Daphnia pulex: one gene and its partner. The main gene of each other region encodes a partner of the protein of the gene in region 2 in a complex. Links are inferred from orthologs where the notes say so. Each region holds a gene or a part of one and is shown on either strand. Other genes may lie near its edges. The genes, in order: histone deacetylase 3-like and corepressor interacting with RBPJ 1-like.

Region 1 (3,928 bases), about 9.0 Mb from region 2:
CTGATGTAAGTAAAAATGGAATTTTGTGTGTAGAAAGAATGTAACACATGTTCTTTATAACAGATTCTGAAGGATGAAATTTGGCCGAATCCCCTCCAGTTCTTCATGATGCCTGAAGCCCTTTCAGAGGAAGGCGATGATGATGGCGATGTTGACGATGAAGAAGACGAAGAGGATGAAGAAGGTGGGGAAGTTGACGAGGGAGATTCAAATTACGACACTGATTAATCATGTGATGCCGTTTTTTTGCGTCGATCCAAAACTTTGTATTGTATGTCAATGTGCCGAAAAGATGCGAGTCAGACTGAGAATGAGCAATGCCTTTTTTTAAATAAAAGAAAATCGGTAACAATTTAAGATGGCATTTATTCCACGAGGTGAAATTTGGATTGGAAGTTTTAGGAATCGGCTGTCGTGCCATCTTTATCTTGGTCTTTCTCTCCGTCATAGTATTCATTATCTGGCTCTATCCTGTGAATGTTGAAACATACAAAGTAATTAGTAATAATATTCTAGCATTTCACATTTTAGGAGGAGCTTACCTTTTATCCTCTTCTTGCTGATGCAGACGAACATCAGGATCTAACTCTTCCGCTTCCTCGAAATTTAAAAGGTCAGGTGGAACGTCTTGCATCATTACACTGCATAGAAATTAAAACATTCGTTATAAGATGAATTTGGATACGGATATGTATTTATACCTAGGAGCGTGTTCTATCATCCTTAAATTCTCATGGATAGTTTTAGTAATGGTTTCCAAATATTGTTTACTATTCGCGTTTTCTTGGCGCGTTACAACGTCGGGATGTAGCGAGAAATCGGGAGCAAAGTACTCGAAATATTCTAAACCAAAAAGGTAAAATTCATTTTAGAGAACAAATAAACCAAATCAATTCAAGTTATGTTATTTACCATTGTAAGGTAGTTCGTTACTGATGCCTTCGTCAACTAGTAACGAAGTTTCGTACGTCCAGCATCTAGCAACATTCCTTAAAGTGTATCCTCCACCTCCAAGTACAAGCAAAGGAACGTTGAAATCTTTTACAAATTTTACACATTCTCTGAAAAAATCGAATGAAAGTTAATCAATCGCTTTAAAAGCTGAATCGTGGAATAACTAGAGTACCCATGTCCTTTTGTACTGAGATTGAAGCATCCCAACCGATCATTGGCTAATGAATCAGCTCCGCACTGAAGAACGATTGCAGTGGGCTGGTAAAACTCCATCACATACTGGAGAAAAAAATTAAAATAAAATGTTTCCTTTCTTTCAATGCCAGTGAAAATCTGTGTACCTGAATAACTGGTTTGAAAACTTGAAGGTAACTTTGATCATCAATGCCCTCTTTTAGAGGGATGTTCACGGAATAGTAGCGACCACATTCTGCTCCAATTTCATACATGTCTCCTAATTAATTAGTTAAAATATTGCTTGATCAATTCTGTTTAAGTTAGTTCTAGACATTTTGAAAAAGACCTGTTCCAGGAAAGAAATAGTTTCCATATTTGTGAAAAGAAACAGTCATCACTCGATCAGTCAAGTAAAAGGCCTCTTGAACACCATCCCCGTGATGAATATCGATGTCAATGTACAGAACACGAGGGTGATATCTATATAGAAAACCAGGCATCTTTTTTAAGTGGTAACCTTGGATATTATGTGCAATCTTACTTCAAAAGTTCCAATATAGCAATCACTATATCATTTACATAACAAAACCCAGAAGCTTCAAATTTTTTAGCATGGTGAAGTCCTCCAGACCAATTGATTGCAATGTCTGTGCTTCCATGATTTAATTTGGTGGCCCCTTCCAGTGAGGCTCCAGTGTACATTGAACAGAAATCAAATAGTCCATCAAAAACAGGACTGTAAGTAATAAGTAAGATAAGGTTGTAAAGATTATCCTAAAAAAAATATATATATGTATATATCTTAATTACCAGTCATCACCAACATTAAACTGACCCAAACATTTACTAAATGCTTGAATATTTTGTGGAGAAACCCTTTGTAGGAATTCAATATAGTCTTCTGAGTGAAACCTGTGTTAACAGAGTACAAATTTTACATTATTTCATGTCAAATCCATTTTTTATGTTGACACTTGTTGTTTTGTTGATCAATCATTTTGTGAAAGGGAGTAAATAGAACAGTTGTCTTAAAAGTAACTAATTTTCAAAGTTACCTGCACATGTCATGGGCTGATGCTCGGTAAGGTCTGTAAACTTGCATTTTTTTATACATTCCATAGTGTAAAACCAAGCTGTGGGTTACTGCCAACCTTTGTGGTTTCATCGGATGGAGTGGTCCTGTGAAAACATTAAAAAACTACATGATCACTTGTTCGAACTTTGGACTAAGAAAGATCATACCATAATGAAAATTTCCAACATCTTGATCATGAAAATAAGAAACAACTTTATTAGCTCCAAATCCCATATTTGTTTGTTTGTAATCACAGGATTTTTTTTTTTTACTTATTTTCGTTCCACTCCTAGTGGCAGACTGATGAAACAATAATTTTGCAACTTTTTTTACTAAAATAAATGGTTCTATTAATAAATCATATTAAATCATGTAAATATACAAAATTATAAAATTTAAATAAAGATTTGGAGCACGATAATAAAATATAATTTTTCCTTTAAAAAATAATAAGAGAATTCAGATGACACTTTGCAATCTGGCAACAAAATCTCGTCGAGCTTTGCCGTGGAACAACTTCTTCTCTTTCACTTGTGTGTGAGCGCCCCTTCGTTCCCTCTTGGAAGCCAGGTAATTTTTATTTCATCCATTTATATCGAGTGAAAATTATTTTCATCTTCCATTGATAGTAATAATTTTGAATCGTCTCTTTCTATTTTGTTGCTGTAATTTATTATAAAGTTTTACTGCTTTCGTTGAAAGTGTTGGTTTGTGAATCCTTAATGACAACTAACTTCAACCGGTCTTCTCCTTTATTTAGGTGTGATTTTATATCAAAATGGTGCGCATGAACGTTTTGGCCGATGCCTTGAAAAGCATCAACAACGCAGAAAAGCGAGGCAAACGCCAGGTCCTCATTCGGCCGTGCTCCAAAGTTATCGTGAAGTTTTTGACGGTCATGATGAAACATGGTAAACGTGGACGAAAATATGTAATTATAATATGTTCTAAATGATGATTCTTTCGCCTAGGTTACATCGGTGAATTCGAAATCGTTGATGATCACCGTGCCGGAAAGATTGTGGTCAATCTGACAGGACGTCTGAACAAGTGTGGTGTCATCTCTCCTCGTTTTGATGTACCTATCAGGGACATTGAGAAATGGTCAAATGACTTGCTGCCTTCTCGCCAGTTTGGGTATGTAAAGCTACTAGCACAAATGTTGTTTAGTTAACTATATCAAGATATTTTGTTCAGGTATGTTGTTATGACCACATCAGCTGGAATCATGGATCATGAAGAAGCCAAGAGGAAACATGTAGGAGGAAAGATTCTGGGATTCTTCTTCTGAAACTGTTGGCTGCCTTGATACACATGATGGTCAATACACATTCTGGAAGATCATATTTGCATACCTTACCACATATCCAAAATCAATTCTCTTGTTAAGAGGACTGTTAGTGGTGAGAATGCTCCAGCTGAGGTTAATTTTGGCTGTGTGGTAAGGTTCTTCATTATTTAATTAATAAGTTTCATTAGTGTTATAAATCGAAAACAATGTGTTTTTCTGGGACTACAGATCAAGTGCTTGATGGGTTGGTTAGGTTTTCTTTTTTTTTTTTGGTTTGCTACTAGGATGTCCAATGCAAGTGAATGTGGAAGTGGTTCACAATATAGTTAAGATCATTGCATTTATGTCTAGCGTTGCTATGTTCACTAATGGACGAATTAAAGTTAGTCATTCATTACACAGAAAATGTAAGGTGTTCAGGAAAGAAACTG
Region 2 (3,811 bases):
ACTGAAAATGACGATTGGGGGTCTATAAAAACATGAAAATCTTACAGAAAAATCGGTCCCGCCTTCAAAAAACTAATAAAACTTGAAGTAGAAGAAAAAATGAATAAAACGAGACTAAATTTGTAATTTGAGGTCGTTTAGGTTAGAAACGGGAGAGATTTTTAAACTTTTCGTTTCCCCATAAGCGCCATGTTAAAACGCGCAAAGACGGCTCACCGATTTTTCAATAGATTTTACTTTTTTTGTAATACTAAGTTACATTGAAATTAAACCAAAATTGGAACTTAAGTTAATTTTGCAATTCTCTTTAACCCTGAATTTTAAAATACCAAATTTTTAATTAAAAAACACCATTTAGCATAAGGTAAATTTTTAAACACATTTTTTTTTAAATATGATCACTTTATTTTTTCTTGGGCGGGTTTTAAAAAGAGTAAGAAAACATAGGTATAAATAAAGCTCATTAAAAAATCACTTTTAACAATTTGTTTTGGGTTAAAATGCTAAAATGACTGTACTATAAACATAAGGCCGCTATAAACCGCTTAAGGAGTTACTACAAAAGTATCAAAAACTTTAACGTGAAAATTAAAAACGCGATCAAATAAAAAAAAATTTTACTTGCACGGCTTCTTCTCTTTAAGTATCTTCATTGAACGGGTTTTCTTATCAAAGTATAAATAATCATCAACAGTCAAAGTTAAATACCTAACAAAATAGCAAAAACATTGAAATCAATGAGGTTGTTTAATCTTTATTAGATCGGAATACAATCAATTCCAAAAGTTTAAAAAATACAGCGAACTGCAACTGAAAAAATTTAGTCTCTGTATTTTTTCCTCTTCATTCTTTCGTCAGATTCTTCGTGTCTTCTCTTTTCTCGATGTTCTTTTTCTCTGGATCGCGATCGTCTATCACGGCTACGAGGCCGTTTGGGACTACGGCTGCCATCGCTTTGATGGACTTTTCTGTAACCTTTGCCATCCTCCCTGGAGGAAGATGCTGTCAACCGAGACGGACTTCTACTTCGGCGTCTCTCATTCCGCGACGAAGATGCTGTCAATGGAAGTGGACTTCTGCTTCTTAGTTTTAGAACCCGTGAAGAAGATGCTGTCAATGGAGGTGGACTTCTATTTTCTCTCTTTTCATTCTTTCTCTTCTTCTTCTTCTTTTTCCCTTTTTCCTTGTCTTCCAGTTTTTCCAGCTTCCTAATTCATGAACCATTAAACTTTATAGATATATTTAACACGAGAATTTGTGATGAGTAAAGCACATACTTAAGTAGTTTCTTCTTTTCTTTGGTTGATAAAGTTTTCAGAAATGTCAATTCTTCTGCTGCAGGCTCCTCCTCAGACTTGGATAATTGTTTCTAAAATTCAAAAGACAAGCACTGTCAGAACTCAGAACAAATGAATAAATACAGGTTTGCATTGCACTTATTACCTGCATTGGAACCGCCATTTGCTCTAAAGTACTAATAGCACTTTTGGTCATAGCCAAACCAGTTTCCTTCATATCATTCATCAACTTCTCAGAAGGATCAGCAGCTGCAATGGCTTCATCAAAGGCATCTCTAGCCTTGTTGAACAAAGGGCATTCCCTGTCTACATGTTCAAATAATCAATCTTGAAATATTAAAAAAAAAATTTAATGACACAGTTACATTAAATATTACCTGTGTTTACGTGTCCCCATTTGTGACATTTGATACAACGAACATTTCTGACAGCAATACCAAAAGGTTGGTCCCTGATGTCCTCATCACCACGACAATAATCTTCACGTGGAGCATTATATTTTCTCTGCCACTCAAACTTGAATTCTGGTTCCCCATCTTCTTTTTCTCTTTCTTTCTTCATTCCTGGTGGTGGTTCATACAGAAAATTGACACTCAGCTTCTCCTTGCTTTCCTTGCTGACAAGTGATCTGAATTTTTAAAAAAGTATCAGTTAATATAAATGATATTATATTTAAATTTTTTGTTGTGGATTTACTTGTTGACGTATAAATCTTGTTCTTTTTCATACTGAGCTTTCAACTCTTCCTGCTTTTTCTTCTCTGCATCCGTCTTTTGTTGAGCCATCCAGACCTAAAAATGTATGATTCAAATAGTTTACACAGTAAATTACATATTCTACAACTGATCTTAAACTGACACACGGTCGGACATACCCTTTTCAAGTTATCTCGAGATCCAGGGTGAAAGAACTTCTTGCACATGTAGTTATTGAATCCTTTGCCCATTTTTCAGCTTCCTCAAATTCGTAGCGCCGCTGGATAAAATGGAGGGTACTCAAAGCCAAAAGGATACAATAGATCAAATGAATCACTATAAAGTAAAAAGTAAGTCAGAATTTTCCAAAAATTTAGAACACACAAATCAGTTGCGTCAACCTACGATGATACGATCAAGTCTTCGTCTACAACGGTTTACAAGTAAAAACAAACGCGAAACGCGATGTTGCCACATTTTTTGAATTTTTCCCAGGTTAACCTTTCTTATCCACTTTAAACTCTGATCGCTAGATGACGTATGATACATCCAACGCTCGTCCAGACGTCCACGTCTGCGTATAAGTTCAACAAAATTAATTTAAAAATAAACGATAAAAAAATAAATGGTAATGTAATCCGAAATCTCGATTGATGATCAGAATAAAGATAAGTTACCATAGCAAATTAATCCTTCCAATTTTATAAATTTATTTTTTTTAAATAATTTACTTGATTTTTGTACTTATGTTTCTTCTTTCTTTATCTTTTTTCACTTGTCTGCAGTATTTTGATGTTTCTCATCTTAATAAATCCACAGCCACCTGATAGCCACGAATTCGTATTAAATCTGCTTCATCTTGGAACGACATTAAACGATTCGTAAGTCGAGAAATCAAGGGAAAAGGTAGAAATAAGAAAACACACATAATTATGATTGCACTAAATCAAACCGCATTAAATATTGAATTTACTGCAAAACTTCCTCTGCTCCCTTGGAGCCATAAAAATCGTACTCTCCTTTATTATCTGAAAGTTCTGCAGGGATATGAGCTTCCGGTAGCTAGTGTACTAAAATGCGCCTATACGTCTACTAAACGAGGACGAGGACTTAATGGTTGTTTATCGCTGTGCTGTGATTATATTTTCAGTATAGGAGAAGGTGTGAAAAGTTTCTGCCCGTTTTAAAAATACAAATAAGCAGAACCTATCAGAATAATCAATCAAGAAATGTGTTGAAGGCTGAATAGATCATTTTTTTTAGGTTTCTCTGCATATACGAATCCGGAACTTTCTATCCCTCTTTCAGTCGATCCAGGTAAATTCTTGCAGAAAAATGCTAATGATATATCCCTCCCCCACTCCTGGCTGGCGGTCAAAACTTCCGCTGTTTATTATATCTTTGACTCGAAGAAAGAATCCATATTTAAGAGAACGTTAATACTAATGCCTAAACAACGATTGATATTCGCGAGCCATAAAAACCAACCAACGCTTAAAAATTATTATTCAAACGTTTTTGGTTTTGTTATTATTATTTTTTTTTTGCTAATTGCCTTTCCAATCATCTGCGAAATTATTTATTTTAAACTTGTAAACACATTGCTGGAAATATTTCTTTCCAAAAATATGTGTTCTTGCTTTGTATGAACGAGTGATAGTCGGAAGTGACAGTCAACAACGAAATGGGGTATGTTTTCAAATTTGCTATAATGGCAATTTTGAACTAAACTTTGTCGGCTCCCAACTATAACAGTAGGAAGAGAGGTCAGACCTGAAATGTGTCCTGTACACTGTCATGTTCTCCTTCACTGGCGGG

The links.
Region 1: corepressor interacting with RBPJ 1-like (region 2) and histone deacetylase 3-like share a complex: the UniProt entries of both Homo sapiens proteins name them as parts of the notch corepressor complex. The link is inferred for Daphnia pulex from reciprocal best matches to the Homo sapiens genes CIRSR and HDAC3.

The regions. Positions count from the first base shown.
Region 1 is NC_060018.1:1,203,351-1,207,278, forward strand, and holds histone deacetylase 3-like, read right to left. Parts: upstream 2,529-3,928; 5' UTR 2,441-2,528; coding exon 2,374-2,440; intron 2,311-2,373; coding exon 2,187-2,310; intron 2,044-2,186; coding exon 1,942-2,043; intron 1,868-1,941; coding exon 1,673-1,867; intron 1,612-1,672; coding exon 1,478-1,611; intron 1,409-1,477; coding exon 1,296-1,408; intron 1,234-1,295; coding exon 1,127-1,233; intron 1,062-1,126; coding exon 913-1,061; intron 844-912; coding exon 702-843; intron 642-701; coding exon 543-641; intron 472-542; coding exon 399-471; 3' UTR 347-398; downstream 1-346. Other genes in the region: protein SET-like, read left to right, coding at 1-5, 64-228; 40S ribosomal protein S15Aa, read left to right, coding at 2,985-3,117, 3,178-3,343, 3,404-3,497. UniProt on the Homo sapiens protein: Histone deacetylase that catalyzes the deacetylation of lysine residues on the N-terminal part of the core histones (H2A, H2B, H3 and H4), and some other non-histone substrates.
Region 2 is NC_060018.1:10,168,460-10,172,270, forward strand, and holds corepressor interacting with RBPJ 1-like, read right to left. Parts: upstream 2,491-3,811; 5' UTR 2,399-2,490; exon of another isoform or gene 2,395-2,398; intron 2,330-2,394; 5' UTR 2,245-2,329; coding exon 2,173-2,244; intron 2,090-2,172; coding exon 1,995-2,089; intron 1,927-1,994; coding exon 1,676-1,926; intron 1,605-1,675; coding exon 1,444-1,604; intron 1,370-1,443; coding exon 1,278-1,369; intron 1,209-1,277; coding exon 821-1,208; 3' UTR 739-820; downstream 1-738. UniProt on the Homo sapiens protein: May modulate splice site selection during alternative splicing of pre-mRNAs. Regulates transcription and acts as corepressor for RBPJ. Recruits RBPJ to the Sin3-histone deacetylase complex (HDAC). Required for RBPJ-mediated repression of transcription.